Arabidopsis thaliana: one gene and its partners. The protein of the gene in region 1 interacts with the protein of each later gene in a pairwise test. Each region holds a gene or a part of one and is shown on either strand. Other genes may lie near its edges.

Region 1 (10,232 bases):
AATTTATTGTTATAGTTAAGTCTTGTTTTCTTTTCTCTCTTTGGTGGGCTTTACCTTTGTGTACTGACATGTTGTTCTTTTTATATGTTAAGTGTGATATTCTTCGACAACAAGAGAGACAGAAGTATGAGAATGAGATTCTCAAAACTATAGTAATGCATTATTCGTGTTATGTATTAATGATTCGTGTATTACAGATACTTACGAAGGTCTTGTATGATGTGTCGAGTAAAAAAAAAACTATCTCGTCATCCAAAGCAGCAGAAGCATTGGTGTAGTGTTAAACAATATAGAAACAAAAACAGGAAGAAACAAAATGATCAATCGATACATTACCAAGAAATATGAATGAAACAAAATTTCTTCTTTGTAGAATATTGTCATATTGACATTGTTCACTCGATCACGGATTTGATATCTGACGTAGAAGAAACGCTATACCTGTTTTCTTGATTATCTTGGTTTGAATTTCCTTGCATGCCAACATATATTTTGAGATTTTAAATATATTTAGAACCATTTTATTTTTTATTTGTAAATTTATAGTAGACATTTAAGAGATTATAGAAAGAAATCTGAATTTAGTTGTACCAAAGAATGTAAATTTCATACAATCACACTCAAAAGGTGGTATGAATGTAATCATTTAAATGTAAATGTAAATCAAGAGGTAGTGATTTTGTTAGTTTTCACATAATTGGACTGGTCTGTCTAATCGTCACCCAATTAGACGTGTTTGTCTACTAGTCAAGGCTATGATTTGGGACATCGTTGATGTTTAGTTCACTTTTACTCAACTTTTACAAAAAAAAAAATCGACGTACAAAATTTCCTATTTCCTCTTTTCTTCATACTTATTATTATAATTTAAAAAAAAAAAAAAAAACTTGTAACACGTAATCACGTATAGGGTAGTAGTTAGACATCTTTTACAAAGTTATAAATTTACAATAAGTATAAAGTGGCCGTGTGGATAAATAAAACATAAAACATTTGTCGACATAAAAATACATTAAAGAAGTGATATATATTGGTTTCTAATTTATCAATAAATTTGAAGATTTTGATAAAATTATAGGTGGTAAAAAAATAAAAGATTCTAAATTATAACTAAAGTGTTTTCTATAATTTTATTAATTAGTTTTTAGCAATTTTGTAAAATTTCTCAAACAATCTCTCTATTTTAATGAGACTTTTATAATTTTATTTTGTAAAAAACGTGTAGAAAGTTATAAACCAATAACACAAAAATTTAATTCATAAATATTCAAAGATTTTTTTGTTTTAGTTGAATAACACAAAACTTTGAATGACTTTATAAAAGTATGAATTCAATAATTCTAAATTTATAAAAAATTTAAATTAATAATACCAAACTTTTTAAAAAATTTGATTAAATAACAATATATTCTCAATAATATTTTAAGTCATTAAAACTTTATTTAAATCCCAAACTAATAATACCACCTAAAATGTTAAAATACCATAAAAACTTCAAACAATCTTCCTACCTGTTTCTTCTTTTGCAACTTGGATATAAAAGCGGCGTGTAAACAGTCTAAAAATAGTTTAGAATAAAGCCTAATAAAACAGATTAAACTAACATTTTTAAGTTATAGCATGTTATTTAATTATTTATGCATGTGACTTTGGTATTATTAGCCAATAGGAAATAACAATAATATATGTTACGACTTTTTTGAAGCAGACTTAAAGATATTAATTCATTACATACGCGTCAAGCGTGTGTACGTATATATCAACCACATATAAATAGAGAGACAAAGGAAGGAAGAGAAGAGTGTCCATATCATAGATTAAAAATCATTCGTTAATCAAACCACAAAATCTAACTTCCACACACAAAACACACATACACAAGAAAATAAAAATAAAAATGGAATTAGTTGAAGAGACCATTCCAAAAGAAGGGAAAAAGATGGGAGAAAGAATTGTGGTCGACAAAGCTTATCTTTACCAAGAAGACAAACCACTCACCGTCTGCAAGACTTCTCTCTTCTACACCGGCGATGGCTTCGCCGCCTATGACTGCCGTGGTGATATCATCTTCAGGGTTGATTCTTATGGACCTGACACAAGAGATAACGATGAGATTGTCCTCATGGACGCGACCGGGAAGTGTCTCCTTACCGTTAAACGAAAGGTAAACTTAATTCATCCTTTTTTTCTTCTTAAAATTATGTTGGGATGAGTAAGAGTCTAGTCGTGAGGGTGACTAGCTAGGTGATTATAATAAATTTTGATGCTCAACTTCTTGTGCTGAATTTGATTAGATGGGTTTGGTTTAAAAAATGAATTTCATTGGTGAGCATCCATCAGAATTCAAGAATCTTTTGCTAACCTCTTTTTTTTGTCAAGAAAATCTTGATAAGTTTTTTGTATTGGTAAACAAATAATGACTTGGCTAGAATCGATAAAAATCATTGTTAGAAACGAGATCTGAAGAAATTGTTTTGAGCTGAAAATTTTAATCAACTTTTTGTATAAGCCTAATTCCGAGTCATCGACTCAGTTGCTAACACAATTTATAGTGTCCTTTATTTGTTATATAGTAGTTCTAAAGATGATACTGAGTCAACTCGTTGTTTATTTTTCTGATGAACAGAGACCAACTCTACACCAAAGATGGGAAGGTTTTCTCGGCGAGAGATCGGAAGGTCAGAAACCGATATTCAGCGTCCGTAGATCGTCGATAATCGGACGGTGTACGATGGAAGTAGAAGTTTACGACGGAACAGGAGAAGAGTACATTATCGATGGAGACTTCTCGCAACGAAGCTGTCTCATATACGACACGAAGAAATGTACTGTGGCTGAGATCAAACGCAAAGTAGACGCGTCAACGAACGTGATGCTTGGTCGAGATGTGTTCACTCTAGAGATTAAACCGGGTTTTGATGGCGCTTTCGCGATGGGTTTGGTCGTTGTGCTTGACCAGATCAACGGTGATGATCCAGTTGAGATTGGTGATGAACAGGTACACCCTTTTGTAGAGGATTAGTGTCGGTCTCTCTCTCACCTCTCTCAGCGGTCTTCACGTTAACATATCGAATCTAATCTTTAGTTTTTCAATCTTTGGATTTGGACCATATGGGATTATGGAGATCTGTTTGTATCATTCTGTGTTAAGTCATTTAAGTTGCTACGTTACATAATATTTATAGACTATAGTCTGTCTCGGGAAATTCGTTGACTATACGTTTGATGTTACAAAATTATTTGTGCGTTCTAAATTTATCGATACATGTTAGAAATTTTTTAAAATTATGACGATCCAAAATCTATCAGTTGACCAGATTAGATGTGTTAAAGATTTAATTAATTATAAGTTCGATTGATAAATTTTTATTTATTGTGTTAGTTGCAAAATGTTTCTATCGAAGTACTAACTTTTTTAATATATAGGAGAGATGTAACGTGTATCGTACACATGTTTACTGCCAAGTGGAAATTGAATCTCATGAATAATTTTATTAGTGTTAGTTGACACAAGATCAGAGAGTGCGTAGGAATATTAATACATAAATAGAAGGTGGTCGAATAAGATTTATAAGAAAACTATATAGGCATCTAATAAAGAGAGAAGATATATCTTGACTAATGCACTCTCTAGATTTGATTCGTTAACGTAATCAAAATTTTCATGCTCACGTAAATACATGGTTGATAGCTATATATACCAAGTAGACAATGGACAAAACAAATAAAATAATTTTATAGTTAGAACAAATACTTGATCAAAATTTATGTGAGTACACAACATTTAAATAGTTATGTAGCTAGTGATGTTTTCATGTGATTGAGTCCCATCAAAAACTCACATATGCAGCTTATGTAATAAACTTTTTCTTTAACTGTTTTTGACTTGGGATGAAATATTTAGAGAATAATGTAGAAAAATCCAACATTTACCCTCACTAAACAATATCATTTCAAGAAGACATTACACAAAGTAATTAGGAGCTCGTATATTAACATTTTAAAGTTAAAAGTGACTAATCACAAGCAAATCAAGAATTACGGGTTAACTTGATAATCAAAGGACCAATTAAAAAAATCACAAATCTCACAAGTGGAACAACCGGTGAAAAAGAAGAAGAAGACACGTGAAAGCAGAAGCGGAAACAAGAGACGACTTAAAACGATACCGTGTGGCAGAAGAGGACTTGAGTCCGGTTAAGCCAATATCGTAGGCAATAGTACCATCGGGTTTAAAAAGGCCAAAGTTTCTCTCGGAAGTGGGACCTGGTTTCGAGTTCTCGTTGAAAAGAGCAAACACGTAAGCTCTCACCACCATGTCTGGTCTGTACGGTGTTCCTTTCCTCTTCTGCAGCCGCTTCCTAAGATTCCGATTATATGTTCTCGCGTTCTTTACCGACGCTCCAGGCTCGTCTGCATCGCCTTTTGATGCCCATCCCGTCTCCGAAACAATCACCTAGGTACAATTAAATGATTAAATCAGGTTCGCATGACGCTTTTAAATCCGCGTACGACAAGACATGTAGCTTAGTGCATGTAGTACTGATAGCAAAAGATAAAAAATGCATGTTACTGATAGAAAAATAAAAATGCATATAACGAGTCAAATTATTCAGTTGAAACTCATATAATGCATGTTTTTGACCCCAAAAAAATGTCTTTAGTCTAGTTTGACATTTACGTTTGTACTTTGCAAAGCTTGTAACAAAGGGAAAATGTTAATGGAAACCAAACAAAAAAAGGGTTGATAGTAATAAGGATCGGACGTACCGGGACTTTTGTGTAGCCAGCTTTTTCGAGAGCAGCATAAGAAGCATCGACCATGGCGTCGAACATGTTATCGTAATGAAGCTTGGTTTTAGGGTCCAAGATGCCTTTGTTGTGCTCGAAAAGGGCGTAATTGATGTCAATTGTAATCGGGTCGGATTTATATGCAAGAAAAGGGTAGGCGTTAATGTAGAACGGCGACTGAATTTGCCAAAAAAACGCTAACAACGGCTTCATAAACGGCGCCACATCGTCCCTGAACGTACACGAAGACGGTGGATACGAGTTCGCAAACACTGCCTCTGAATGTGGACTCGACACCTATAAACAAATATTGAATGTTTTAGGCTAAATCATCATTTAAGTTCTAAGTTTGATGTCCTAAAAATATTAGAGATGATTTAAAAAGAAAAAAATTCAAAGAGAAATCCAAATTGATGCATGCCTACTAACGTATCTTAGCTGGATTATGATCGACATGGTCATATCATTAATACAAACTTCTGTTACTAGGTTAATAGATTTATATATTTAAACTGAATCATTTTGGGTTACAAAAAAATGATTGATCATTTTGTCTGTAAGAAAATTCTCAACTTTACTCGGAAAAAAATAATGTATTTATGAGATTTAACGTTGGTTAAACGTGCAATCTTTTAAAAAAACTTTTTCCAAACAAAATAAGCAAATTCGAGATGTCATGGTTTTAGCGACATGTTTGGTATGCAAGATTAAGGTAATGTACCTCGACGACATTGTGAAGACCGAGACGGCGAAGAGCGGAGTAAACGTTCTTGGCTGCGGGTAAGAGAGCTTCCCAAAGCCCGATATCGGTGCCACCTAAAATCTCGTTACCCACCGCGATACCGCTAATTTTAGTACCGCCTCGTATGAAAGGCTCGACGTTTTCTTTAATCCAGTTCATGGCTCGGTCTTCTCCTACACTAATGTCTTTGAGAAACTCGTTGCCTAAGCCAACGATGATTTCAATCCCGGTCCCGCGGAACGCCGTGAGTACAGAGTGGTCAGCATCGTAGATACGGGTGTTTCTAATCTTTGCTGATTTAAGGAGAGTTGCTACCGCGTCAGGAGACGGAAGATTATCCGCTATGCGACCGTAGTTTACACCATATGTTCCGATGAATGCTACGGCCGTTTGTGAAGAGAGTATAGAGAAGACTAAGAGAAACGAAAGGAAGAAAGAAGAGAAAACCATATGTGAAGTTGGAGACTTTCGAAGAGGAACACAATAACCCATTTGAGATACTGTCTCGAATGATGTTTTTGAAAACAGAGCAAGTTTTTTTTTTAATCCTAAAATGGGAACAATAAGAGTTTATACTATGAAGTTGTTCCTTAATAGAAAGATTCTAAACCCTCGTCCCTGGGACCATGCAAAAGGATGGAATCAAGGAAATAAGAAAACTAACATTGTAAGTCTTTCTTTGCATTAGATTCTTACTTTACTCTCAAAGCAAAACTTTTACCTTTTTCCTCTTGTCTTCTTCTGCTTTCTTCCATTTTTTTATTTGGGTTTCCCATTTTATGGCGTTCAAATGAAGATTGAACCAATGATAAAAAGAAATCTAGAAGATTAATCTATGTGTGGATCTTTAATCTGACTTGTTCATAACTTGATTGTCCATCCATACGAAAATGACTAAAGATTGTAGCAGAAAGATAAAACATCAAACCTAGTGATTGCAATGGTTTTAGAGAAGAGTCAATAATATATCCTCTACATAACCTTACAACCAAACAGAACTTGCACATATCTCATAATACATATCTCAGCCTAACAACACCTTTCACCGCGATAATGCTCCGAGTAGGAAGCAAAAAGGAAACCATATACTTCAATAGATTGATAGAAACAACTGACTTACAGTTTCATGAGCTAACAGAAGCAGAGCAGAACAGGGCTATCCGGTAGCTTCTCCTTCTGCTGTTTTCTCTTTCCCCTCAGCTTCTGTGGTCAGACCATTTTCTTCATGGTTTCTGGTCTCAGCTTCAGAATTCTTCTTCTCATCACTAGCTTCAACGGTCTTCTTCTCTACATCTACCGAGTTCTTTTCGATTGAGCCAGTATCTTTTTCTTTGTCAGTCTCCTTACTCTTATCATCAACAGAATCCAGAGCTTTCTCCTTCATCGACTCACCCTCTTCTTGAACTGGAGCCGCATTTGGAGTTTCCTCAGCAACAATGTTTTCTTTTGCATCATTCACCCTCTCAGTTTCACCGGAGCCATTCTTATCGGTCACATTTTCATTCTCGGCGATTCCCTCTGGAGGATTCATTTCAGTATCTTTCACATGAGAGTTTTCCTCTCCTCCTCCCTCTGATTTCTCACCTTCTGCATCTTTCTTTGACACTGGAGATTTGGTTCTACCTCGCTTCTTGGGTGGCTCTTTATCTGGTGACGGCGTAGCCTTAGTCTTCTCACTGATTCTTGCAGATCTCCTAGGTGTCCCACTAGTCGTCCAATCAAACTCTGCGATCGCGGGGTTTCCAGGGTGCGATTTGAGATACTGCTCCAGCTGCTTTCTGTTACTAATCTCCTCACCCGTTGGAGCCACAAACACAACCTCTGTTTTCTTCACTGAACCCACTTTGTTGGGGTAAAACTGCAAAAACAAGTCAGTTAATGTAAACCTCTGAAAATATGAAAATTTGAGGTTCAAAACGCTGAAAGATTAAATTCTAAAGAAGACCTTAATGTAGCTTAAACAATGTTTACAAGTGGCTTAAAATCCATAAGAATCGGGAAAAGTAAGAAGTAAATCAAACATAGTCAAAATGAGGCATTAAGTCAAGAACAAAGAAGTAGAAATAGTAGATCAAACACAATCAAATGTGGCTTTTTCTAAGTCTATAACCTTTGAATCACCTAATCAACATAAAGTTATTTACACTTATACTAACATTTCGCCACCAAAAGCTACCATATTCAGAGTCTTCAAAGAAAAAGATTTGGTAATTGCAGCACTACACATATACAACAAATTCTAAGTCTTTGTATGAAACAAAGAAAACAAACCAATTTCTTCCATGAAGAAGGTGCTGGTAGCTCAACAGAAACAACTTCCTCTTCACCACCCATCTCTCTCCTTTCCCTTTAGCAACCCCTGAAAACAAATTAGAAAGATCAACCACAAAATGCCAAGAAAACAAAAACAAAAAATTTAACAATTTACACGAATGAAGCAACAGACAACCTAGGGTTTGATTGTCGGAAAGCAAAACAGAGTTTAAAATTTTAGGGATTTTGCTCTGCTCTTCTTTTTCTCTTTTGCTTAACACTATGGTTTTAGACCTTTTTTTACTACCAGAAACACACAGAGTATATGATAAAGTCACTTGGAGGTAGCACAACAACTTAACTAACAACCCAATTAAGTTTAACCACGTGTCTATATCCAGTGATATAAAATGCGCTCTATCATCTATATTCTATGGTAACAACGACACGTTAAAGCCTTGATCAAAAGGTGTTAAGTCGACTCGGATGTTCGCATTTAATGCAGATTTAGACTTACTTGGTGCTCATGCAATACACGTGCCAAATAGTTAACGACTTTTCTCCATTTTGGGGGAAAAAAACTCTAATGGAGTATTGCTTTGGAGTCCGGTAAAACAGAACGTTACTGTGGTTTAAACTCTTTAAAGCCCATAAATTAGGCCCATTCATGTCTTGAGTCCTATTGCTCAACGACGCCGTTTTTTAAGCATGATCAGATGGAGACTGGGAAAGAATCAGGAATTGAGTACTATATATCACTAGCATTAACCAAGAAGATAACACGATCTTATTGTTTCCTATTATCATCTGAATAAGTGATGTACAAGGAAGATGCTTACTTGGTGAAGTTTATACAGGTAATTTGATCTCTTTGAAGTCTTGATATATATACAGTATAGAGTAGTAGATAATCACCAAAGCCTCTTCATATATGGAAACTACTTGAAACGTGAACCCTTCTTGCCTTTGCCTTTACCCGTCCCATCTGTGACTGTAACCCAGAAGAAGAGAAACATCCAAAAGAACACTGCGAGGAAAATCTTTACGCGGTCTTGAACCCTTGTCACAGCTCCCACAAGACCTTTACAAAGAGAAAAAGAAAACAAGAGTATTCATTTCACTTAGTATCAGTCATGAGTGCAGTTTTTTCTATTTCCAGCCTATCCTTCTATGTTATAAAGGAATCATCACCCAAGCTATTCAACATAACATATGGACTAATTGCAGAACCAATGAACATACAACTACTGCACAATTTTACATCTTAAGAGAAAATTTAGAAAATCCCCACATAAAATGGTAGCCATTTTGAATCATAAGGAGTAAATTCCACAATCCTAATTGCCTAAGCCAAAATCATGTCACAAGATTTGAACTTTGGTTCCATGGACACAACAACTAATTGGATGAAATCATCCTCATGTTTTGGAAGTTTCATGATACAATAACAATCTCAGCACGATTCAATACCAAGTACTAACCTAAAAGACTCCATACTTATATCAAACTATCGGATAAAAATTGAAACTTTCGACCCAAAACACAACAGTTAAAGTGAAAACTGAAAAGCAAGTACAACAAAGACCAACCAAACAAAGTAGGATTCAAAGGACCAAAATATCAATCTGGGCAAGAAGAATCGAACCTTCTAGCTGAGTGGTGTCCTCAGGCGGAGGCGGATCAGGGCCTGGAGGAGAAGGAGGACCACCAGCGACGGCGAGGCGGCGTAAACGGCGGGGACTCGCTAGTAGGACGGTGTTTCGACGGTGAAGGTGATACGGCGGTGAGAACGGCGAGAGAATTGAGTAGTGGTAGAGGTTAGTGCTTGTGGTCGGGTTGGACAAAGCCATCGCCATTTTTCCTCGACGATAAAATTAAGAACTCATTTTTATTTAAGGGGTTTCTGATTCAGACATACACGTGTACGACAATTTAAAAAAAAAACATTTTTGTGGAAATTACTCCAAATCAAGAGAATTTTATAAAATTTGATCCATCAACAAATATTTTTTGTTGGGTGTATATATTTTTCTCAGCTCTCTTTACAATTGTAAATGTGTAAAAAAGAATCTTTTAGCCGTATAGACCTTCTTCTTCCCAAACTTCAACAAGAAACTGCACCATTTCCTGCAATGATAAAACTTTCAATAACAAACAAAATTTGGATGAGAATGGATAGTTACTTCCTCCAGTTCATGGAGTTGAACTTACATCAAGAGGTATAGGCCTCGGAAATCGCTTGTTGCTCCCAAGTAGACTCTCATAAGTCACATTCTCACTGCAAAAACAATCAAACTGTTTATATTCCACACAACAGTTGGACTCTTCGAACCATTAGGTCTTATATAATCCTCACTTTAGAATCGGTTCTCGACCAACGCTTTTACGGCTCTCGGATCTTTTATCTCCCACCCATTGCTGCCGAGTTTGATTCCATAGCACAAGA
Region 2 (9,031 bases), on another chromosome or scaffold:
CGGCGGCAAACAAATCGAACGCACAGTATAGCAAGTGTCCGTCAGGGGTGGCGCTGATTTGCGAAGGGGAAGTTTACGGAGGATGGTGCATTGAATCGGCGGCGTATAACCTTAGTTTGGGACCAGTACAAGCGGCGCTTGTTGATTTTATGGCTCGTGGCGAAGGCAAAGGGTTTGAGATGATCACTGGAGCTGTGCTGGTGGAGATGAATGATGCGAAAGTGAGTCAAGAGGCCACTGCGAGGATTCTTTTGAAGACTATAGCCCCCGGGTGCAATTTCAGTGTCTTCCGTTGTCACAAGACCGCAGAAAATTGAAGCATGTTTATGCTGCCTTGATGATAGATTACTGATGCGTATACTAAAGATGATAGATAAAAAATGCTAATATAAAGGAAACTAACCCAGTGGGGGAATTACACATGCATATTCTGGTGATTAAAACTTATGATGATAAAATAGTATTAATCATAATTATGTTATGTTTTGGGCTTCTTCTTTGGTTTTATGTATTGTTACCTTAATTACCTTTTAAATAATGTCAATGCATAATCTTTCACGATGTCAATTCACTTTGCACTTAGAAATGTCACTGTTTTTGTTTGTCACAATACTTGGCTCCAAACGAATAATATTCTGAATTGCTTTTGTCATTACGAATAACATATTGTTCTATAAACCTACGATTATCCGATTTTTTTCCTACATTAGATACGGACCTTATTAAATCATATATTATTGTGTCTTCTGTTTATGATAAAATTAAAATAAGAATCTGACGTAATAAAGTTATCGAACCTTTTTTGGTTTTGCAGAAGCAAAAAAAAGTAGTAAAATAGATATCTTTGCATGAATCTCCATTAGTTGGTAAAATAAAAGTCTCACTTCCAAACGTATCGAAGTAGAGAATAATGTGGTCCACTGACCAATGGCAAAACTCCTACTAAGTGCGCAATTGGATAATAAGAATTTAGAAGGGTTGAATTTAAGGATTATATATTTGTTTTTCACAGAAGATGGTAACAGCTTCCATGAACTCCTAAAAGTCTTATTACAAAAGTATAAAGATTTATTTAATTTCCACATTTTTGTTTTTACTATATTCAATACCATGAAAATGTGACGAACTACAACTATTGAATTATTATTTAATTACTACTCTTTAGCACATTCCTTTCTAGTTTCTACTAAGCTACTAAAGTAATCCTAACTACTATGAAACAAATTTTCTTTGGAAAAAAGGTCACGAGTCATTATGCATCTTGAATAATTTTCTTATTTTATATATTTACTATTCATACCATGAAAATGTATTAAAGTAAAATTATTTCATTGATTTTGACCACTCTAATTTCTACTAAACTACCAACGTAATCCTAACTACTTTTTGTTTGCTTTGAAAACTGGTTCATGAGTTAATTTCAACAAGAAAAAAAGAAAAATGGTTCCTGAATCACACATGAATCTTATAATGTAATCACTCAATCTAGTTTGTATGTTGTAATCTTACATACGAGGTAAAGACATCGAAGTAGAGAATAACGTGGTCCATTGAGCAAACTCCTGCTAAGTGTTAGGGCCGGCTCAACACTATCAAAGGCCCTAGGGCAAAATAACATTTTGGGCCCATAAAACCTTTTTTGGGTCTTTTAGTATATAAAAAAAAAGGGGAGATTTTTATAAATGTACCAAATTTTATTAAAATCTTGAACAATATACCCAATATATGGATATTTGAAAACTACAGATTTTTTATTGAAGTTTTACCATAATTAAATATAATGGATAAAATTAATTGACATTTTCTAAAATAGTTTGAATATCTAATTTCTTAAATATAAACAGTTTAGTTTAAAAATAAAATTTGTTATAACTAATTAATCAATTTATTTAGTGTCTTATTTCTAATGGTTTCTATTTATTAAGGACAAACATGTCATTTTAAAACCAATATAAAATATATTTCAAATAGTGTAATATTATAGTGTAGATTTCAAATTAATACTAAAATATAAGGTATACAATCAAATTAATCCTAAAGTAAAACACTTCTGCAAAATTTATATAACTAGTTGTTTATAATCATATGCCAATAATCACAATACAATAACTTCTTAAAAGCAAATCTAAATGTAATGTCAGAACAATATAAATCTAGGAATTTCCAATGTTACATGAAACAGAGAAGATTTTTTACATATTGGTACATCAAGCTCTACATTCAAGATATCTTTCGAATAATGTATATATTAGCTTAACTTGCGAGAGGGTAAAACCCCAAAGATTCAATAAAGAAACCCTAAATTGAAGCCCAAGAAATTCAATAACGATACCCTAAATTGAGACACGAAAACCTTGAATAAAGCGAAATCAAAATAAAAATTGAGGCATAACAAAGCTATATATACTAGTGAATAAAGAATCCCTGCTTCACATTGACCAAGAAACCACAAATTTGAAACAAAAATCATGACGAAGAGGTTAGACTTTGAACTTAATCATATTCAAAACTTACACTTCTACTATACAAATGAACCATAAACTCTACATCACACTACATATCTATAGAAGTTCCATCAAACCACAATGATACCGCTGCTGCTTCCCTCCATCTCTTGCTCCTTCCATCTCTTTACAAGTTCTAATACACTTGTGTCCTCCCTGTCGTTGTCTACGATTTCACTAGGCTTCCAAGTGTCACAGAGTGAGGTAAGTGTAGAGACAACATACTTCATCTCTGGTCTCTGAGTGAGCTCCTTGGCGCAGCAGTGAATTGCTAGTCTCGCTACGTCGTCAATGATGTTGCGGTTCTCTTCATTCACTTAAATTGTTTCGTCAATGGCTTCTCTAAAAGAGTTTTTGTCGATGCAGACTCTCCTGAACCAACTGAGAATGTGATGTTCAGCATCTGATCGCTTCTTGTCTAAAGCTTCCTTGCTTGTGACTAACTCCATGAGAATAACTCCAAAACTGTAGACATCAGCTTTTGTAGTTACCCTTCCAATCAATGCACTTACAAAGTTTAAGCTGTTAGATAACAATAACATTGGTGATCCGATGTAATAAACATTAACAGATTAGAGAAGAAGCATACATGCGTATTCAGGTGCCATGTAACCATATGTGCCGAGGATAGACTTTGTCATGATTGATTCGTTGCCCTCTGCTGTAGATCGGGTCAAACCAAAATCTGAAACCCTACAAAAAAACAAAAACTTTTAAGAGAAAAATAACGGTAATATCGATTGGACTACTTTTTTCGATCAGCTTTTTTGTAAAATTTGAGGATATTAAATGATCGTATTTAAAATTATTGTCAAAATACTTAGATTTGTTATTTTTGATCCAAAAAGTTCAAAAATATATATAAAGCATGATAATAACGAAATAATAAACAATACATCCTCAAACCAACTATTTTAAAATGCATAGAGTTTGGAGGAATAAGGAGAAATCTTGAAAATTTATATATATTTTGCTTGTAGTTTGCTTTTGTTTTTCTTATGTTTTATCTTCTTTTTTTGCTTTAAATTAAACATGATTAACAAACTTTATATTTTGGTAATTCTAGAACACTATAACATATTAAAAAAATTATAAACAAAATAATTCTTCATAGACAATATAAACCTATGTAATTATCTCTTTGAAATAAATAAATTAAATATGTTTATTAGGAATAAGTCTTAGTTGGTTTTGCTTAACATTTACCAAATGTAAAAATATTGTATTCACTCTGGGACTAGGCCGGTTGATATTAGCGAGACGTCTAAACCACCTCAGATATTTTAGAGAGTTCCTTTTAAACACTTATCTCTTTTACAATTATCTAATTTTTTTACTAAAATAAAAATTTAATTGTATAATCAAATTATAGTAAAATATTAATATTTTTTTTATTTGAGAATTTTTTGGGGTTCTCTTTGTTGGAGATGGTCTAACTACTTCTTCATGTCGTGTCTAAAAAGTAAAATGGTATATATAGCCAAATCCCTATTGCATTTGAACTTGATAATTGTTGTGATAAAATTAAAAACTAGATCATTGTTCATATAAAGTTACAACCTTTCAATTCGTAATTGTTGAAAATGAGAGAATCGATTGGATAATTTGTAATAAGTGATAACTGAGAAGAGGATCACACTTGTCTTCGTTATTGTATTGGCTTGTTGGAGATAATTAGATAGGAATTCTATCATAGGATAATGTTTTTAATCAGCACGCAAAATTGCCTTTTATTTGTCACCAAGGTCTCTGACATGCATCAGTACATCAATATCCACATCCTGAATTTTGATCGCAAAAGAGCTCAAGTTCTTTTTGCAGCATGTTAACGTTCCTTCACTGGATATGCGTTGTTTTGAACTATGTAGACAAATTCAGGAAAGAAAAACTGAAAATCTTGTGCTCAATTGTGAAGACTTAAGAGGAAGAAGAAAGTGACGAAGATGATGTGTTCATTGCCACTTTCTCTTCATCATCTTCCAAGACGAACAACATCTCTGTATTCCTCCTACACATGCCATGAACCAGAACAACGGGCAAACCAGCCAAAACCCCGATCACAATACCGCGGGATACATCTGTTAGTAGAAATATACCGATCGTGAGGACCAACAAAACCAGCACCAAAGTAGAATCATCGATCACACTGCCAAATATCACCCATGGTTCATTATCACGGGAGTAGACATATAGCCATGCTACTATCAAGATAACAAAGACGGAAAGGTGGACGGGTTGCCAAAGCATGCTGATGAAGATACTAACAATGAAGATAACAATGTAGTTGGTTCGAAAGATCATGATGTTGGATTTGATTCGTTCAGTGGCAACGCTAAAGGAGATAGGAAGGCTAAAGGCACTACATTGGACAAGTTCAAGCCATGGCCTTTGAGAGCTAAGACCTAACGAGATCAATTCTTTGGCTCGTCCTAATAAGCTCAGGCTCGACGAAGCATTTTCTTGGGATGGTATAGTGCCATAGGTTGTCATATTCTTTCACAAGCAACAAACAAAAAAAAAAAGGAAGGAAAGAAACAGAGTACGTCCCCAGAGGAATCTATATGGACTAAAGAATGTGAAGCAACCTAATTTGAAGAGAAAAATCTGTGTTGGCTCAATGTTTCTGAGGTAGTTAGATCATCTATCTTATTTGGGAATGTTTTATTTCAGGACACCAGAAGAGAGGCAGATACAAGCAGAGATATTCAAAGGAATGAATGGATACCCTTAAACTTCTCAAATCAAATCCTTATACTATAACGAGACTGTCATTACATGTAATTTCTAGAAAATAGATTCTTAAGAGAGTCATTAGACTCGAAATACAGACACAAACATTCTACTGAACCAAAAGAAGTTTTTTGATATACATATACTAGTGAACCAGTATAAATCCATTTATATCTGCGTATCAAAGTCGGAGATACATCCTTCACCATAGTCTCTGATAGCCTAATCGTTAGCTTCACTGGCTGCTAGCATCTGAAGCAATAGCCTCACCACGATAAACTCTCCATGGTCCTCGATAGAATACTGGCTTCATCAGAGGCACTGTTTTCCCTGGGTGCTCTTCCCAAAACTTCTCCTGTTTACAGAGAGTGGAGTAACATAAAGTTCACACTCAAACAAGAAACATAACTGATACTAACACAAAACAGTGTAAGAAACACATTGACAAAGAATACAATATACTACAGAACAATGAATTAGATTAGATACTAATCAAGACGTAAAAGCTTCATTGAAAGACCTAATGAACCATTCCCATGAAAAGCAATTCAAGTATAGTTCTTTTCATGATCACACAATCCTTTATTAGTAATCAACAATGAATCATTTCCAATTTTATCACATTTCGAACCCTAACATTTACCAATCACGAGAATCAAATTAGAACCCACAAATCTAATAGCAATTCCGGGCCTGAATCGATAACAATACGAAGCTGACCTTGTAGAGCTGCTCTGTAACTGCAGCGCCGATGACGCCGGTGTAAAAGGCGGCGACATAGATAGTAATCAAAGTTGTGAAGGTTTTTGGTCGACGGTAAGGTTCGATCATTTCCCAAACAGCAAATCTCTCGAACTTATTGTACTTATAATCAGCATATTTCCTCCATAGTTGGCTCCACACTCCTTGCATCTCTCAGATTTCTCTCTTCTCAAACCTTCGCCGAATTTTGGATTTCTCCGTCTAGCTGTTTCGCGGCGGCGCGTGGGAACCTGAGAAAAATCTGATATCAAAAGGCAAGACTTTAAACGTTAAAACGTTTACCAAACAGTCCTCTTATTCCTACATGTTTTAGTTTTCAGCCCTTAACTTATCTTTAACACTTAAAAGTCTTGAGCTCACATTTGTAAATTTTTAAAAAATCTTATTTGATATGATTCTTGTAAATTTGTAAATTGTAATCACAACACATGATTATTGTAACCATTGTGCTATGTATTTGTTTTTCACTATCGTTCGGTAAGTTGAGAAAGTTATAAATTTACCCCAAAACTATGGAAATGAGACTTATGCAACCTCACATGACTTCATCAATAAGCTTGCTTTAAAGCAATAAAGAACAGCAGTAGTGAAAATACATTTGCAATTGACTATTAGCAGAAGAATCGTAACTGGCTTTAGGAAGTATTCTTTTACACCCAAAAATATGACGATATACAGAATTTTAAGCTGAGTATTTGCTTGAGCAACCAAAGATTGTTGCCTTAGTAATATATCTAAAAATCTGGCACTTCAACTTGATGCAGCTGGTTTGGCTAATGTTAAGCCTTCAGGTACCTTGGCTGGACCGAGGCTGCAACGATCGGTATTGTGCAGTTGGATTGCATCTTTTATCTTCTGAAACTGAATACACACAAATATTCAAAAGAAGAGGATGTCAAATAGTAATCAGAGACAGACCAAATGCATTCAACCGGTTTTGGTATCAATATCAGCAAAGGGTCTATAATATTTGATAGATCCTATCGAAAAAGAACAACGAAGTAGTTCTCTTTGTTTGAAGCGTTATGCCAAGCTCTAGTTGCGGAAAAGGTGAAACCGAAATAGCCTTCTTTACCTTAGCAAGAGAACATGAGAATGACTCAAGCTGACCATCAGCTCCACGGTAAAAGTGGAAAAAAGGAAGCACTCTCACGTTCAAACTCTTGCACATCGGTTTATTCTCATCAAAGTTTACTTTAAGGAACACTATATCGGGATGTTCCACCGCTGTCTTGCAAAGCTGAAAACATTTTCAAAACAGACACAAAAAAAACATCTAAATTTCTCACAGAATCACGAAAGAGAAATGAAACTCTTATAGTTTCATGGAATAGATACGTCACATGACACTAACCTTTGGGAACAATGCTCTGCAAGAAGCACACCAAGTTCCATAAAACTCTACAATAACTAATCTTTCACCCGCACCGCTTAAAGCGCTCAAGAACTCTTCAGTAGAATGAATATCGACCATGTTTGGAGCATTCCTCTCCCACCATTTCGGTGGCTCTGTCTCGGCTACATTTTCATCTACCTACACCACAAACCCACATCAGAAACATAAAACTATGGCCGAAAGCATCACCATCTAATCAAAGCAATCAATAGCATCACCGTCTCTAACAAAAAAACTGAAACTTTAGACTAAATTCTAAACATCTGAAGTGGAATGAGAACATAACAGTGAGCTAAGGTCACAATTCACGTTTAGGCTCTAGCTAGAGGCGAAAGACCAAATCGAATAACAAGAGATCAGAAATGGGCTCAAGAGTCTCAATTTCCAAAAGGGTATACGATTTACGGACAGAATCAGCTAAAAGGCAAGACATTTGTACCTTGACACGAACCACTTGGCTCTTGGGTCGTCTAAGGGGGAGATGGCTTCCGAGACCAGAAGATGGGTGGTAATGAGAAGACGAGCAGGAAGGAGAAGATGAGAGAAGACGCAATCTCTTGTCGGAATTCAGATTCGAGTTTGGAGGTAAGCAAGGTTGCAGAGGATTAAGAGCGGTGGCAAAGGAGCTGAAGGACGAGGAGACACGAATGGCTTGAACCGACGTCGTCGTTAATCGCACAACTCCAGCCATCTAAATGCACCCAGAGAGAGAGATAGAGACTGAGATTGTTCTTGGTTTTGAATCTTCTCCGAGAGATCCTCTAAGGAGAAGAAGATCAGAAACTGTCTGGTTCAGATTCCAGTGATATTTCTCTCATCATGTCTCTCCAATTATACATAGACGCGATTTTTCAACATTAAATAGCGTTTAAACCGCCATCATCCACTTGGCGTTTTGTCGATATGATAGTTGAAAAAGCGTAAACGCGTTTTTGTTTCTCCGTTAGAATCGTGTTTTAACACGGAACGCAGATAAGTAATGCTTTTTTCTTTACACACATAACAAACTTATTTACTTAAATGCCATCTATGTTTATTTGTTATTTGGATCCCAACTTTAATTGATGTACAAACACAGAAAAATCTAAAGAAAAATATCAAATTTGAAGGCGATTTGGGTTTAATTAGATTCGTATTTTTGATCAATCAAGTCTAGCATATACTTAGGTTTGATAAGTTTTCTACTTTCGATCACGATTTTAAAAGAGGAAGGTTCTTGTTATAAGGATTTAAGTGAATCTGTTCTGTTCCAATAAACTAAGCAAGTAATGAAAGAAAAAACATAACATGTGATGCAACAAAATCATTGCAAGAAAATAGGACACATCGGTGATAAGTGTTGATAATTCCAACATACACTAAATTGTTTCCAATTATTGGCAAAGAATCGAGTATCCAATTCAAAGCATTGTTTCTTTGAAGGAAAGTACAAAGCTTCCAATCTTGGCATCAAATGTCAAGACAAGTTTCATACTCCGAAATACTACAATACGTTTTAGTGCAACTTCGTGATGAAATCATACAAAAACAGCAATCAGATCAAAACGCATAAAACGTCTAAGAGGTCAAACGCGTTTATGTTTTGACAACAAAGTCTCAAGAGTCTAGACTGCCTTTTATTGACAGAAGAATAAACTTA
Region 3 (13,600 bases), on another chromosome or scaffold:
AAAAAAAACTTAAAAGCTCCCATGTGGCTTACTTCTTTTTGAAATTCAGCTGGATTGAGTTTCGGTTAAAGGTTTGGTCACACGTGAAAACTACAAAAACCGAGACTTCTTATACGGCTCTACTACATTTGCTTGTCGGCAATTATTTCGTGGATTTGCATTTCCCAATTCTAGAAAATAATTGAATATCTTAACAATAAAATATAAAACTCTTTTTAATTTTAGTTTCAAAGAAAATAAAAAAAAATCAAAGCGCCGCAGTCGACGTCCCACTGACCTACCTACCAACCCACCCAAAAAGGGCAAGAAAACTAGCAGACTGGTTAAAAGTAAAACCCTAAAATCTCAACGAAAGGGACGACCAATTGTTCGACGATTGGTCATGGGGAAAACCGGAATCCAATTGTTCGACGATTCGAGGAATGGGTTTTTCTCCGTTTCCGATTTAGGATTCGATTCGAGCCTAAACAGCTCTAATTACCACCCAATTGGTGGGTTATTCGCCAGCGTTAATCAGACTAATCCATTCGCATCCCTCTCGTCCTCGGATCTTTCCAACAGAGGCAACAACAGCTTCTCTACCCAGCTCAATGATCTCTACACCAAGTATATGCCGGGAAAAGAGGAGGAGGAAGAAGTAGTTAATGGCGAGAAGAGGAAGAGGAAGAAGAAAGGTGGGCTCACACTGAAGATTAAGATCGCTAATCCTTCGTTGCGGCGGCTATTAAGCGGAGCAGTAGCTGGAGCGGTGTCGAGAACGGTGGTTGCGCCGTTGGAGACAATCAGGACGCATCTAATGGTGGGAAGTGGAGGAAACTCCAGCACTGAAGTGTTCAGTGATATCATGAAGCATGAAGGTTGGACTGGTCTCTTCAGGGGCAATTTGGTCAATGTCATTCGTGTTGCACCTGCTCGAGCCGTCGAGGTACCACTATGATAATCCTAACCAAACATGTATCATTGTTTATAATTGAAATGCAGATTGAGCAAGTTTCTGACTTTTATACTAATATATCTCGTTGACTCTTTACCTGTGAAAAGTCTTGTGTCTTATGCTGAATTGATGAGACTTTGGTACTCAACTTTCTTTGTTTTCCAATTCTTGTATGTGTAGCTTTTTGTATTCGAGACCGTAAACAAGAAATTGTCGCCGCCACATGGACAAGAATCGAAAATCCCAATTCCAGCTTCTTTACTGGCTGGTGCCTGTGCTGGAGTTAGCCAGACACTCTTGACATACCCTCTTGAACTAGTCAAGACTCGCCTTACAATTCAGGTTTGATCCATTTAGATTGTATTTTGTTAGAAATAATTAGGTGATCTCACTCCCTTGTAGCTGAAGGATTTGTGGCCTTAGTACATGTCACGTTGTTTTTGACAAGAATTCAGTTAGATAGTTCATTGTAATATCGGATCTATATAGTTCTTTGCTCAGTAATGGGTCTTCCAAACTTATTGCAGAGAGGTGTTTACAAAGGGATTTTTGATGCGTTTCTCAAAATCATACGCGAGGAAGGACCCACAGAACTCTACAGGGGTCTTGCTCCTAGCCTTATTGGAGTTGTTCCATACGCAGCTACAAATTACTTTGCATATGATTCTTTGAGAAAAGCATACCGGAGTTTTTCAAAGCAGGAGAAGATTGGAAACATTGAGACTCTTTTGATAGGTTCTTTAGCAGGTGCACTATCGAGCACTGCAACTTTCCCTCTTGAAGTGGCCCGGAAGCATATGCAGGTGGGAGCTGTTAGCGGGAGGGTTGTGTACAAGAACATGTTGCACGCTCTGGTGACCATACTTGAGCATGAAGGTATTCTCGGTTGGTACAAAGGGCTTGGACCGAGTTGCTTGAAGTTGGTTCCTGCTGCTGGAATCTCCTTCATGTGTTATGAAGCTTGCAAGAAGATACTCATCGAGAACAACCAAGAAGCTTGATTTTGGAATTGTATGGATTCGTGGCAAATTTTAAGGATTGATCAGAGAAACACATTGTGGATACTAATTGGGTTCATTTTACACCACTTGAGATTTCACAAATTAGTATTGAGGGGGGATTAAAAGATTCACTCTACCTTTTTGTTTGAACTTTACGTTTTCAATTTTTGATTGATCTGATTCTGATTCAAATAAGAGTTTACACAATATCTCTTCAAATATGTAACTTTACTGATCAAGTCCCATAATGACAAAGATTTCGTTAAAAGTTCAAAAAAATAAATGTCATTCTATTTGTACTGATGGGTGAGACAAAACAAGAGGGCGAGTTCACCCGAAGACATCAACACTTGCACCAACAATTGACGTACACCATCATATCCATAAACTTTTTGTAGTAAAGTGAAAAGCTTAGCATATAAACTTCAGATTCTTAGATAAAAAGAAAACTCCAATCCCTTTTTAGGACAACAAGTTCCAACATTACATAAGTGTGAGTCTAACAAGCTTTAAATAAAATAAATATAAGAAAGAATAACAAATTCTTTTTGTAGACTATGTATCATTTGGGTCCACATCTTCTTCCCCACTGGAAAATCATTACAATAGTGTTACGAACAATTTCACCTTCTCTGGCTACTCGGAGAAAGCTAATCTTGGACATGGAATCACCTTAACTGCCCGGTTCACTGGGGTTTGATGGGTTTAGATGATTTGGAATTCCCATTGCGCGTTTTTGATATATGCACACACAAGTATATAAATAGGGTCTAAAAGACACCTCCTTTGCCATTGAAGTTGTTGGCATTGGGATTGGCGTCCACAAAGGGATTGATCCTGACCCAAAGCAACGAGAAGATGGAGGCGAGAAGAACAGACCAGACAATGACGATGGTTGGTGTTCGGTTTTGTCTTCCCAACAGACCTTTCAAGAAAGGGTAGAGATGGGCAATAACCCATAAGGCGAAGAAGAGCTTCCCGAAAAGCGGACCCCACGACTGGTAGCCACTGTTTACAGCATAAGAGACACCAGCCACAATGCCTATGAGGTTCACAAGTAGGACGGTGGTTGGTGGAATGAGAAGAGCTGTCCATTTGAAGATGTAGAGTTCTGCAAAATCCCCATCTTCGTCTGTGGCTTTAGATGTAACGGTGAAGTTGGTGTCGATACCAGCAAGAACCTTAAGTAGACCTTGGAAGACAGCAAAAAGATGGGCGGATGTGCCACCAATGACCCAGAACTGCTCGTTCCTCCACCAATCCTCAATGCTCACACCGCTCCATCTCAGCTCCAGGATTCCAGTCACAGCAATTGAGATGAAGAGTAGAATGAACCAAATACTCGCGTAGTTGCTTATCTGCAACAATGATGATGACAAAAAAATGCATTCACAAAATGGGATTCAAATAGTAAATAGCAGTGTGGTCAGTTTTACAAACCTCGGGTATGATGAATCTGTCGGTGATGAGACAAAAAGCGGGAAGAATACAATACGCAATAAGAGGGATGGATGTAATAGGATAGACGATGGTGTTGATATAAGCGATCCTCTCCAAAAGTCTCAACCTTCCATGGTAACCATACCAGATAGGACAATGTCTGCTAAGAAGAATCTCGATAGATCCCAAAGCCCATCGAAGAACTTGGTTCAAACGATCAGAAAGATTGATTGGTGCAGATCCCTTGAACGCAGGGCGTGGAGGATTGCAGTAGATCGATATCCAACCCCGGGCATGCATCTTGAACCCAGTAAGAATATCTTCCGTCACGGAACCATAGATCCAACCAATCTAACAAAAGTGCCAAATAAGATGTCATCAAACAGGTAAGAAAGAGAACATAAGAAGATTCTGTAGCTGCATTTGAAAACTGACCTCTTTGCCCCATTCAGTCTTGTCTTCGTAACCACAGCTTATAACATGAATAGCCTCCTTCAGAAGAGTAGCGGGATTGGTTGTTGGTGGAATGCCGCCTTGTTCCATGAAGGTTGCCGCAATAAATACCGGCGACTGACCAAAACGCTTCTCTACACTCCTCTGGGACATTAGAATAGACCTCTCATCATCATAACCTGCATAAACAAGGATTGTAAGATTTCACCATCACATAAATCATTACATAAAGAAGTGATGTTATTACACAATCAGCTCAATCAAACCTTCAAAACCCTCATCGATGTCCTCCATATTGAAAAGTGGAGCATTGGAGTCACTTCTGTTGATGCCTCTCCTCTTTTCGTAGTTATACTTCTTGCTACTTTTACCTTTCTTCCTTGACCCGCAACAGCTCTTGACAATAATATTTGGTTCTAAATCTTCTTCCGTCAAAACAGGATCATACCCATATAGAGCCTGCCTATTAAAACAACAACCAGTACCCACATATACTGGACCCTGGATACCATCCAACCCCTTCATGTTAATCTGCCCAAGAGAACAAATATCCAAGTCAGGCCATAGCAGAAACGAGTAAATCCAACCAAAATATGAACAAAAGAGAAACAAAAGACAATGGGGAAGTGATACTCACATCGAAAAAGACTATATTCCTGTTGGCATATCGATCGTGCAAATCAATACCGTCAAAACGTTGAGGGAACTGGACATAGCAGCACTTCTTTCCAATAGCCGGGTCCATCATGAAACACATAGCTTCTTTAATAGCCTTACTGTTATTAAAGTAATGATCACAATCCACGTTCAAAAGATATGCTCCATTGGTAAGAACAGCAGATACACGGATCTGTCAAAGTAAAGAGATACTAAATTAGGAGAGAACACATAGCCTAGAAAAAAAAGAATGTGAAGCAACGGCTACACAAGAAGAACGTTTCTTAGGCAGTGAACAAGAGAATAAAATAGAGGACACAATAGGATTCTGAAAGTTAACAAACCAATGCATTCATAGCTCCAGCCTTTTTGTGGTGTTGAAATCCAGGCCGCTTTTCACGAGAAACATAGATGAGTCTAGGCAGCTCATTTCCATCGGTATCCAGACCCCCACTATGGCCTAAGAACACCTGAAATTGAAACAAAACGATGTAAACATGTTTCCTTTACGTTATCCTCTCTGTCACAATCAAGGGATTGCCACACTGTACCTGTATCATTCCAGGATGATCTCTAGTGTTGTTACCAGGCCAGGGAGTACCATCCTGCATTGTCCAGCCTTCTTCAGGGATTTTCTGTGCTTTGGCAACAAGAGCATTTATCCTCACTTTAAACTCTTCATACTCTCTCTGTCAATACAAACCAAAGAAAAAGTCAGTCAATCTCTTTGCCGTATGGATGAGAAGCAGGTGGACTTTTCAAATGACCTTCATAGCTCGTCGCTCTTTAACAAAAGACGGTTGGATCTTGTCCTTCAAGTAATCTATCTTCTGGGCAAAATAGAATTCAGGGGCCCTAGGTTCAATGTTGAATTTCTTGCAAAATGGTACCCATTTCTTTGCAAACTCAGCGGTTTCAGAAAGGGATTCAAAGGTAAGCATAGCTGAACCATCATCTGAAACATAACAGGCTACTTTATCTACCGGGTAGTCCACAGAAAGAATCGAGAGAACTGTGTTTGCTGTAACAAGGGGAGGCTCTTTCAATGGGTCCACTGTACTAACAAACACATCAACAGGAACGAGCTGTGATGGTTCACCGTCTCGATCATATCTACAATAAGAAACCAAAAAATCAAAACACATATAAAATCAGTATAATAGCTAAGCTCTATCTTAATAAACACTCCACTTGGCATGCTTCTATCATAGTCTAGTCGGAAACTTCACATGGTCAGTAGATTGCAGATGGTTTTCTACTAAATTTCAAGATTTACAATCATAATCTTCTTAAGATATATCATAATCAAAATTCAGATGCACCATTGTCTAAATTTAAATTAAATTTACAGGGGGAAAAAGTCAACTATCGAAAACTGTGATAGAAGATATCAAGTTAATACATAAAAGAGAGATGAGAGTAGGGGATGTATAAACTTAAAGACCAACCTTATAGCGAGACGGTCAAGATAAGTCTCCCTGTTAATGGGGTACCATTTGGGAAACTGATCAAGAAGCCAAGAAAATGCAAACCAGATCTCACAGATAACCGAGGTCAACCACAAAGGATATGCATTTTTCACAGGGTGAGTTGTACGATATTGCAAGAAGAAACACAAGATGATAAGCCGGAGAATAATCACAACCCGATAAGGGGTTAGGCGAGAAGATGGGATAGGCACCACACGACTCATAGGAAGACGTGTATCATCAGCCCTGTAAGTACGAGAACCATAATTGAGTGGAAGGAAACAAATGTAACAAAGCAGATACTTAATTATGTCTATCAATACATAATAAGAAACCAAGAGTGGTTATTAGCATCACGGCCAAGAGCTGTTTGAGTTGGACAATAAAGATATTGGTCTAGTATTTCCACTTACATTTGGAGTTCTTCGCCATTGGAACCAGTCCCTTCAATTTCTCCTCCTTTCCCTTCATGGTATTTACCAGTCATCTGTAACATATTTTTCTCCTGCTTCAGCTTCCAGCCTTCAACTCTTTCTTTCCAGTCAACATTACCAAGCCCATAAGAGTTCAAGTCTTTTGACGGGTCCACGATTCTTACAGGGACTGCAATTTTTAGCGGGAGCTATCAGTTACGGTACACAAAATATATATGTTGTAAAAATGAATAGGAATCACATTTAACAAAGACCACGTGCACAAGGGAAAAACATATGAATACCAGGTTGCCGTGGATCAATATATGGAGATGAAATAGCATTCCTGTCAGAAGGACCCAAAGGACCTGATGTAGTTCGCACAGATTGTGTATCAGGCGTGCGAATCTCTCCAGAAACCTGTGTATAGAAAAAGGTCATGAATCTATTGAAAACAGACACAACTAACAACATCTATTATTATTTCTTAATTTGGATGACCATGTACTATCAGAAAAAAATTCTGTTAAGATTTGTTCACATATAACATTAACGTGAATAGTAAGTAATAAATGACCACTCTAGGGATTTATTGAGTAATACAAATCACTCTAGAGTCTAAAGGGAAAATGTAGGTCCCTACCGTATGGCCATGGGTGAGAAGAGGAATTGGTTGAGATTCATGTCTAGAGGAAGAAGAAAACTCTTCGCCATGGCGTTGGTGTCTCGCCTTGTTAGCTCCCTGGGCGTAATTGAACTCATTCTCGATATCATCAACATCATCCTCATCTTCATCTCCTTCAACACGAGGACTCCCTGGAAAATTCCAAAAAATTGTTCAACACAACAGCAAAGAAACAAAAAGAGAAAATCCATATATAGCAATTGCCAACAAAAAGAAAAAGACAACTGACCCCTGTGTCGTCTGAATCTAGTCTTGCATTGAGGGCAACACTGAGTTCCATCTTTCCTCTCGTACTCATAGCAAGGCCGACACACAGGGAAGGCACATTCATTACACGCGACAAAGACATCTCCAGTTTCAGCGAGTCCAACATCATCACCACAGATCTGACATATCTGGCCATTCATATTCTTCAAAGGTTTGGTCTGCACTTTGACCAACATTGCATCATTGTTAGTCATTGAGTATTAGAAACTACAGAAAGAGATGAGCAAGGATCTAAATCAAAACAATCAATGCAGATCTGAATTAAGGCGAGTCACAGTCTGTATCCCATGGCGGGAACTAACGAGATCTAGTTGAGCTAAATCTCAATAAGTAAAGCTAAACTTTAAGAGTCAAAGATTTTAGCTTAAAAAAGTTAACGAACTGAAATCCACCGACACTTTCCATAAGAGATTTTAAGAAAACAGATGCGGCATTAATTGATATAGATCACAACAATTTGAAGAATTGGAGCAGAAAAGTTTCCATTTTCAGACACTTACTTGATCAACTGACACTAACTAACTACACAGTCAAAGGAAGCGAAATCTGAGTTTCAATGATCCAATTATGGATCCAAAAGAGACGAGATTTAGAAACAGAGAAATCTAGATGAGATCTACACATCAAAAATTGTAAGAACGAAAAACAATAACAAAAAAATGGGAAAAAGGGAAGATGAACAGACCCCGCCATCAGATTCATGTCGGATCCGAACGAGCTCGTTTCTCCGGTAGGATCCAGCAACCAAGCCGGCACTGGCCTCCATCGCAGCCACCGACACACAGAGAAAGAGAGAGATTCACAAAATTCAAAATTGGGAAATTCGTAGCCGATTCAATACGGCATCTCGAAAACCCAAATCTACTAAAAAAGGATGTTCACACACTCCTCTGTCACTCTCTCTCTCTATTTGATATCTCAAGCTGCTTCTTCTTCAAATCTGCTTTTGCCTATTTTATCGCAGAGTGATGTGTTTTTTCTTAATTTTTAAATGACAAGTACATTATTTTACCGGAGATGGTGACGGTAGTAGTAGCCTCTTCCTCTCCCACCGTTTTAGCTCAGCTCGGCTCTATTCGGCTCAAGTTATCATCTCTCTACTTTTTAAAGTGAGCCGTTCTGGCTTCCCCACTAGACGCGCCAGCTTCTTAGTATGTGACGTGGCAAAATCTTATTGCAAGAAAGAGATAGGACAAAGTATGATTGTTTGATTATATTAAAAAAAAAAAAGAAGAAGCCACGTTGTTGTTGGCTCTGGTACCAGCCTGTTCTTTTTTATTTGCTATCACCTGTCGGTGGACTCAAAATAACTAGTGTTGATTAGGTTCTAATTGTTAGCTTAAGAAGTTACGGGCGAATTCGCAAATAATTTTTAAATGGATGCCACTTCTTTTTTTAATCCCATTTTGTTGTTATATTTACAAGTTTTAATTCAGTATACAGATTTCTGAGTTTTAATTCATTTTTTGTGTCAATAAACTTTTAACAAAAAAAATTCCATTAAGAAATCATTTTAACATTTTTATATTTAGTGATAGTGATAATGACGGTGGTATAGTGATATGATATATATGTAGGAAGAAATCGTAAATTATATTGATTATCCAAATAAATAAATTACGATGTCGTTGTTCTAAAGTTTGGTGACAAACGTCACATTTAGTTATGCTTAATTTTATGAAAGTTTAATTATTGGACCAAAACCAACTCCGCAACGAATAATGGAAGTTAACATTTGTCGGCAAATGGCAACAAAGAAAAAATGTCGGCAAACATCAACAGAAATTTTTAACAATCTTGGAGCATAATCAAACAAACATACGCAAAAGACAATGCTTATGTTTTACAGAAGTAAACTACTTACTCTCTTTACCATCTCTTCTCAGTAAAAAGAACAAACACTTAACTTAAGGGTAATCATTATTCATTAATCATAGGCTACTAATCCCTTTTTCCCACCTGGGCTATTATCCGAGGATGTCGAATCCGACTTCGATGGAGACCTTGCCTTGGATGGTGATCTTGACACTGATCTTGCTTTCCCCGTCCCAATGGGAGATTTTGAATATGACTTTGATCTTGATCTTGACCTCGATGGACTCAGGCTGTGGCTAGCGGATGGTGACCTTCTCTTTCTGTAAGGTGGAGATCGGCTACGGATAGGGCTGCGGCTGTACCGCCGGTTGCGATAACAGAGACCAGGCGATACTGAGCGGCTTCTTCTTCTATACCTGAGCATACTTTCGAGTTGTGAAATCAAGAATAATTCTTTTGGATCACCAATTTTAGTTCCATATTCATGAAACTTTTAGATGTAAAGAATCAGCTGAAACAATGTACTAAAGAGGATAAGTACCTTGGAGGTGTTCTTCCTCTTAGTGGGCTTCTGAACCGACTTGGCGAGAACCTTCTGCGACTTCTAAATCTACAGAGAAGACGTTATAAAAAAGACGGTTCAGTACGAGAGTGTGTAACAGAAAGGGGGAGTTATATTATGTGTGGGCTATTCACCTGTCACGGTCACTCCTATCACTAAAGCGATAAGGAGATCGATCAGGAGATGGACTAGTTCTGTATCGACGGGCGTATGAGAATCTTTGGCTAAATCCTCTCCCTCTCCTTATGCGCCCATTAGGAGAAGCACTTCTTGACAAACTTCTTCTGCGGTCAGGAGGAGGAGATCTAGGCCGCACACTCCTTCTCCTTGCCGGAACTGGACTTCTGCTAATTCTTCTTCTTCCTCTAACAGGACTCCTGCTGATACTTCTCCTGGACAATCGAATAGGACTCCTGCTGATACTTCTTCTGGACAATCGAATAGGACTCCTGCTCACACTCTTCCTAGATGATCGGACTGGACTCCTGCTGATACGTCTCCTGGATGAACGAACCGGACTTCTGCTCACACTCTTCCTAGATGATCGGACTGGACTCCTGCTCACACTCTTCCTAGGTGATCGAATGGGACTCCGGCTTAGGCTTCTCCTAGACAATCGAGTGGGACTCCGGCTCAGACTTCTTCTAGATAATTGAATAGGACTCCGGCTCAGGCTTCTTCTAGAAGATCGAACTGGACTTCTGCTAGGTGATCTTCTTGACGATCTTCTTAGTGGGCCCCTCCCAAGGCTTCCACGAGATGCAGATCTTACAGGACTCCGGCTAGGGCTTCTGGCAATCCTACCTCTCACTGGACTTCTGCTGATGACCCTTTTGGGGCTCCTCAGTGGACTTCTGCTTAAACTCTTTGAAGGACTTCTACTAATATCTCTTTCCTTTTTCACCCGCACCGGACTTCTACTAACACTTTTGGTAGGGCTCCTTCTGACATGCCTGCCCTTTTCCTCACTCCCTGGGCTTTCTCTTCTACTGTTTGTCAAGTTCTTCACTTGGCGGCTACCTTTAGCAGGACTTCTGCCCCCATTCCATCTAGGACTTGAACTCGGGCTCTTACTCTGACTCCTCCGAGGACTAACACTCGTGCTCTTACTCACTGTCCTCTTAGGACTCAAGCTCCGGCTCCTGCACATTAACTTTAAAATAAGACTGACTTCATATTGAATAAGAGAGAAATAACCAATAAATGAGGCGTAGAGAGAAAAGAAACTAGACCTAGATTTACTAGGATGATCATCGACAATATCAGGTTGCCTATCAGAAATCTGTTCTGATGCAGCATCTGAAATTCCATTACTTCTCAGCCCTCTGTTTTCAAGCAAATCTGGTCCTTTCCTTTTGCCCTGGTGAAGTGATTCAGCTTCTTTTTCCACCGCTGGTGCAGAATTACCTGATTGAATATTGTCAAAAACAGAATGTTAAGAGTGTACAGTCTCATTATTAAACTGCCTACAGAAATTAGCAAAAAAAAAAAACATGTCGGCAATATGAAGACGCATGATCAACACAATGCTTCAACAAAAGGCAAATTGACACTAAAATATGTTATGATCAAATAGCACGCAAAGTATTTTGTCCCATCCCAACATCCTTAATTTCGGACAGACCAATAGAAAAAGAACAAAAAAAAATAGCTGAAACAGAAGCCAAAAGTCTTGAGTTTTAGAGACTACCTGTTCTACGAGAGACTCTGTGTTTCCTCTTTTTTGCTCCAATTTCAACATTGACATCACTAAGACTTGCTTCACTTCCACTATTACTGTCTTCAAGACTGTCAGGGGACCTGAAAAGTTGCAGAACACAAGTGAATAACTCTGGAGCAGATACAGGTAAGTAAAATTGTTAGGATATCTATCAAATTATTACATCCTAGAGGAACAAAATTAATCTAGCTTAGATCCATAGAAAATAATAAATTTCAGAAAGTAACCAGCATTGACACGGAAACTATGGCTATAACAAGTGAAGTGTACAAGACTTGCAACCTTCTTGATTTGCGTTTCGGTCTCTTATCACGCATACTCCGCTTTTTCTCATGGCGCTTATCTCTCTGTTTAGACCGCCTGTGCTTGTCTTTCTTTGAACTTCTTTTTCTCTTCTTCTGCCTTTCATGGCTCGAGGAACTAAGGAAGGAAGGTGAAGACAAGTCTGAATCTGACTCACTATCAGATTCTGAGGAATCTGTCTCAGAATCTGAAGAGCTCTCAGACTCAGATGAAGAGTGTCTTCGCCTCTTTTTTCTTCTCACTCTTAAAGACTTCTTGTGCTTTCCATTTTTTTTACCGTCACTTTTCTTCTTATCTGCATGGATTGGTTATAATTGTGAAATCATGACTTATGTAGTAGAAACCAATAGGAGCAGATTCGTACCTCCAGAATATTCTCCACAACGGATTATCTTCACGCTGACAGTAGGTTTACCTTCCTCATCACCCACACGTTCAATTTTTTTCAATATCTCTTTCCCTTGAATTAGCTTTCCGAAAACAACATTATTTCTGATGAAAATATAAACCAGTCAGAAATAACACAATGCCCAAAGGAAAATCCACATTCCTGAAATAAACAAAGTAATATTGAGAGGAAACCTATCAAGCTGCTGATTTGGCCTGAAGGTAATATGAAAGTGTGATCCGAACTTGTCACGGTCTGCAATCGACATAGATAAAAGACCAGTCTCCTCATGTCTTAGTTTCGGTGACTCATCTGGTAACATCAGAAATTGATTTTGCTACTTAGTAACATATTTAAAGGGAACAAGCAAAAGATGTGATATTCACAAGAAGACCAGTACTTTACAATAAAGCAATGCGTCCAAAATGAAAGATTATTTGTTAATACAATCTTTATTTAAGCAATGAACAATGCAGAAATGAGAGATCACACCCACAATAGACTATCAAGACTCTCATATCTTGCTAGGGTAATTGTAAAGAGATTGCTATTAAAAATCGCAGTGGTAAACCAACCTGGAAATTTTCCGGCATATATGCTTTCCCCAGCAGTACCTGGAAAGTGGAAGAAATATACAAAGTTTGTCAGATGATAATGAATTTGCTAATGTTCACTGCATAACCTATTGAGCACTATCTAATGATCCAATAACCTCCACAGGAATCTAATGAATGCAGTCCCATGCACCAAATAGCTAATCTCAGTTTAATGGTATTTTCAGACGACTATGATTACATGAATGATATATAGTTTCTCAAGCACAGTTAATAAGCTACAAACTGTGCGCCATAGATAGAAGATCAGAAAAGGCGGGAATCAATAAATTTAACTGATGGCTGTATTTGATGTATTTCAGGAGCTGAAGAATAAGTGTACATACCATTTCGATTCACAAAGTCACCGGCCTGAAAAAAGGTCAAAAAAAGATTGTTAGACTAGTAGCAACATTGAATAGGTTGGTACATAAACTGTACTCTTTGCATGAGAAGGCCTAACGTTTGAGCATAAACAACTAGTAGTACAACCTTAAAACTATATCACATGAAAAGCAGGTGTTGCGATCAGACCTGTATCCTACAGCATAGAGAACAGCAACGACTAAAAAGACCAAAATCCAACCAATGTCGATAATTAAAAAAAAAAAAAAAGAAAAAAAAAAACAAAAGTATAAGAATGAAACGTCATATCAATAAATGAAAGATGCAGATAGAAACCTGTGCTGAGGAACCTTTCATTATTCTATGGAAAAAGGATCCTTTATAATGCAAAGGTTTTCCGCTTCTGGGTCCGATGCCTTTCTCCCCTATATAGATTTTATAAGGGGAAATAAGTGTTAAAGACAAGGAAAACCAACAGTCAAATTAATAAACAGCAAGAAAGCAACAAGCTTAGCCGGACAGAAAACAAACCTGTGCATAGTGCACGGAAATTCT

What was found.
Region 2: the proteins of AT3G15800 (region 1) and PRA1.C interact in a protein complementation assay, tested with the Arabidopsis thaliana proteins (one large-scale study listed by BioGRID).
Region 3: the proteins of AT3G15800 (region 1) and CESA1 interact in a protein complementation assay, tested with the Arabidopsis thaliana proteins (one large-scale study listed by BioGRID).

Annotation. Positions count from the first base shown.
Region 1 is NC_003074.8:5,340,844-5,351,075, reverse strand, and holds AT3G15800 (Glycosyl hydrolase superfamily protein), read right to left. Parts: upstream 6,088-10,232; 5' UTR 6,026-6,087; coding exon 5,513-6,025; intron 5,089-5,512; coding exon 4,771-5,088; intron 4,457-4,770; coding exon 4,088-4,456; 3' UTR 3,929-4,087; downstream 1-3,928. Other genes in the region: AT3G15810 (LURP-one-like protein (DUF567)), read left to right, coding at 1,898-2,164, 2,627-3,022; MBD11 (methyl-CPG-binding domain 11), read right to left, coding at 6,690-7,391, 7,805-7,867; AT3G15780 (uncharacterized protein), read right to left, coding at 8,725-8,867, 9,432-9,642; AT3G15770 (uncharacterized protein), read right to left, coding at 9,860-9,913, 9,998-10,064, 10,143-10,232.
Region 2 is NC_003075.7:14,529,026-14,538,056, forward strand, and holds PRA1.C (prenylated RAB acceptor 1.C), read right to left. Parts: upstream 5,049-9,031; 5' UTR 4,995-5,048; coding exon 4,422-4,994; 3' UTR 3,912-4,421; downstream 1-3,911. Other genes in the region: AT4G29650 (Cytidine/deoxycytidylate deaminase family protein), read left to right, coding at 1-317; AT4G29654 (Protein kinase superfamily protein), read right to left, coding at 2,576-2,811, 2,887-3,026, 3,118-3,189, 3,401-3,429; EMB2752 (embryo defective 2752), read right to left, coding at 5,470-5,589, 5,955-6,146; ACHT2 (atypical CYS HIS rich thioredoxin 2), read right to left, coding at 6,958-7,236, 7,351-7,530, 7,832-8,083.
Region 3 is NC_003075.7:15,638,304-15,651,903, forward strand, and holds CESA1 (cellulose synthase 1), read right to left. Parts: upstream 8,542-13,600; 5' UTR 8,086-8,541; coding exon 8,005-8,085; intron 7,478-8,004; coding exon 7,282-7,477; intron 7,184-7,281; coding exon 7,011-7,183; intron 6,788-7,010; coding exon 6,673-6,787; intron 6,558-6,672; coding exon 6,368-6,557; intron 6,201-6,367; coding exon 5,934-6,200; intron 5,599-5,933; coding exon 5,253-5,598; intron 5,175-5,252; coding exon 5,037-5,174; intron 4,956-5,036; coding exon 4,830-4,955; intron 4,679-4,829; coding exon 4,466-4,678; intron 4,360-4,465; coding exon 4,095-4,359; intron 4,008-4,094; coding exon 3,811-4,007; intron 3,727-3,810; coding exon 3,376-3,726; intron 3,294-3,375; coding exon 2,706-3,293; 3' UTR 2,187-2,705; downstream 1-2,186. Other genes in the region: SHS1 (Mitochondrial substrate carrier family protein), read left to right, coding at 383-925, 1,115-1,276, 1,462-1,935; AT4G32420 (Cyclophilin-like peptidyl-prolyl cis-trans isomerase family protein), read right to left, coding at 9,247-9,550, 9,676-9,744, 9,831-10,838, 10,929-11,103, 11,387-11,496, 11,699-12,014, 12,084-12,211, 12,302-12,419 and 4 more. UniProt on the Arabidopsis thaliana protein: Catalytic subunit of cellulose synthase terminal complexes ('rosettes'), required for beta-1,4-glucan microfibril crystallization, a major mechanism of the cell wall formation. Involved in the primary cell wall formation.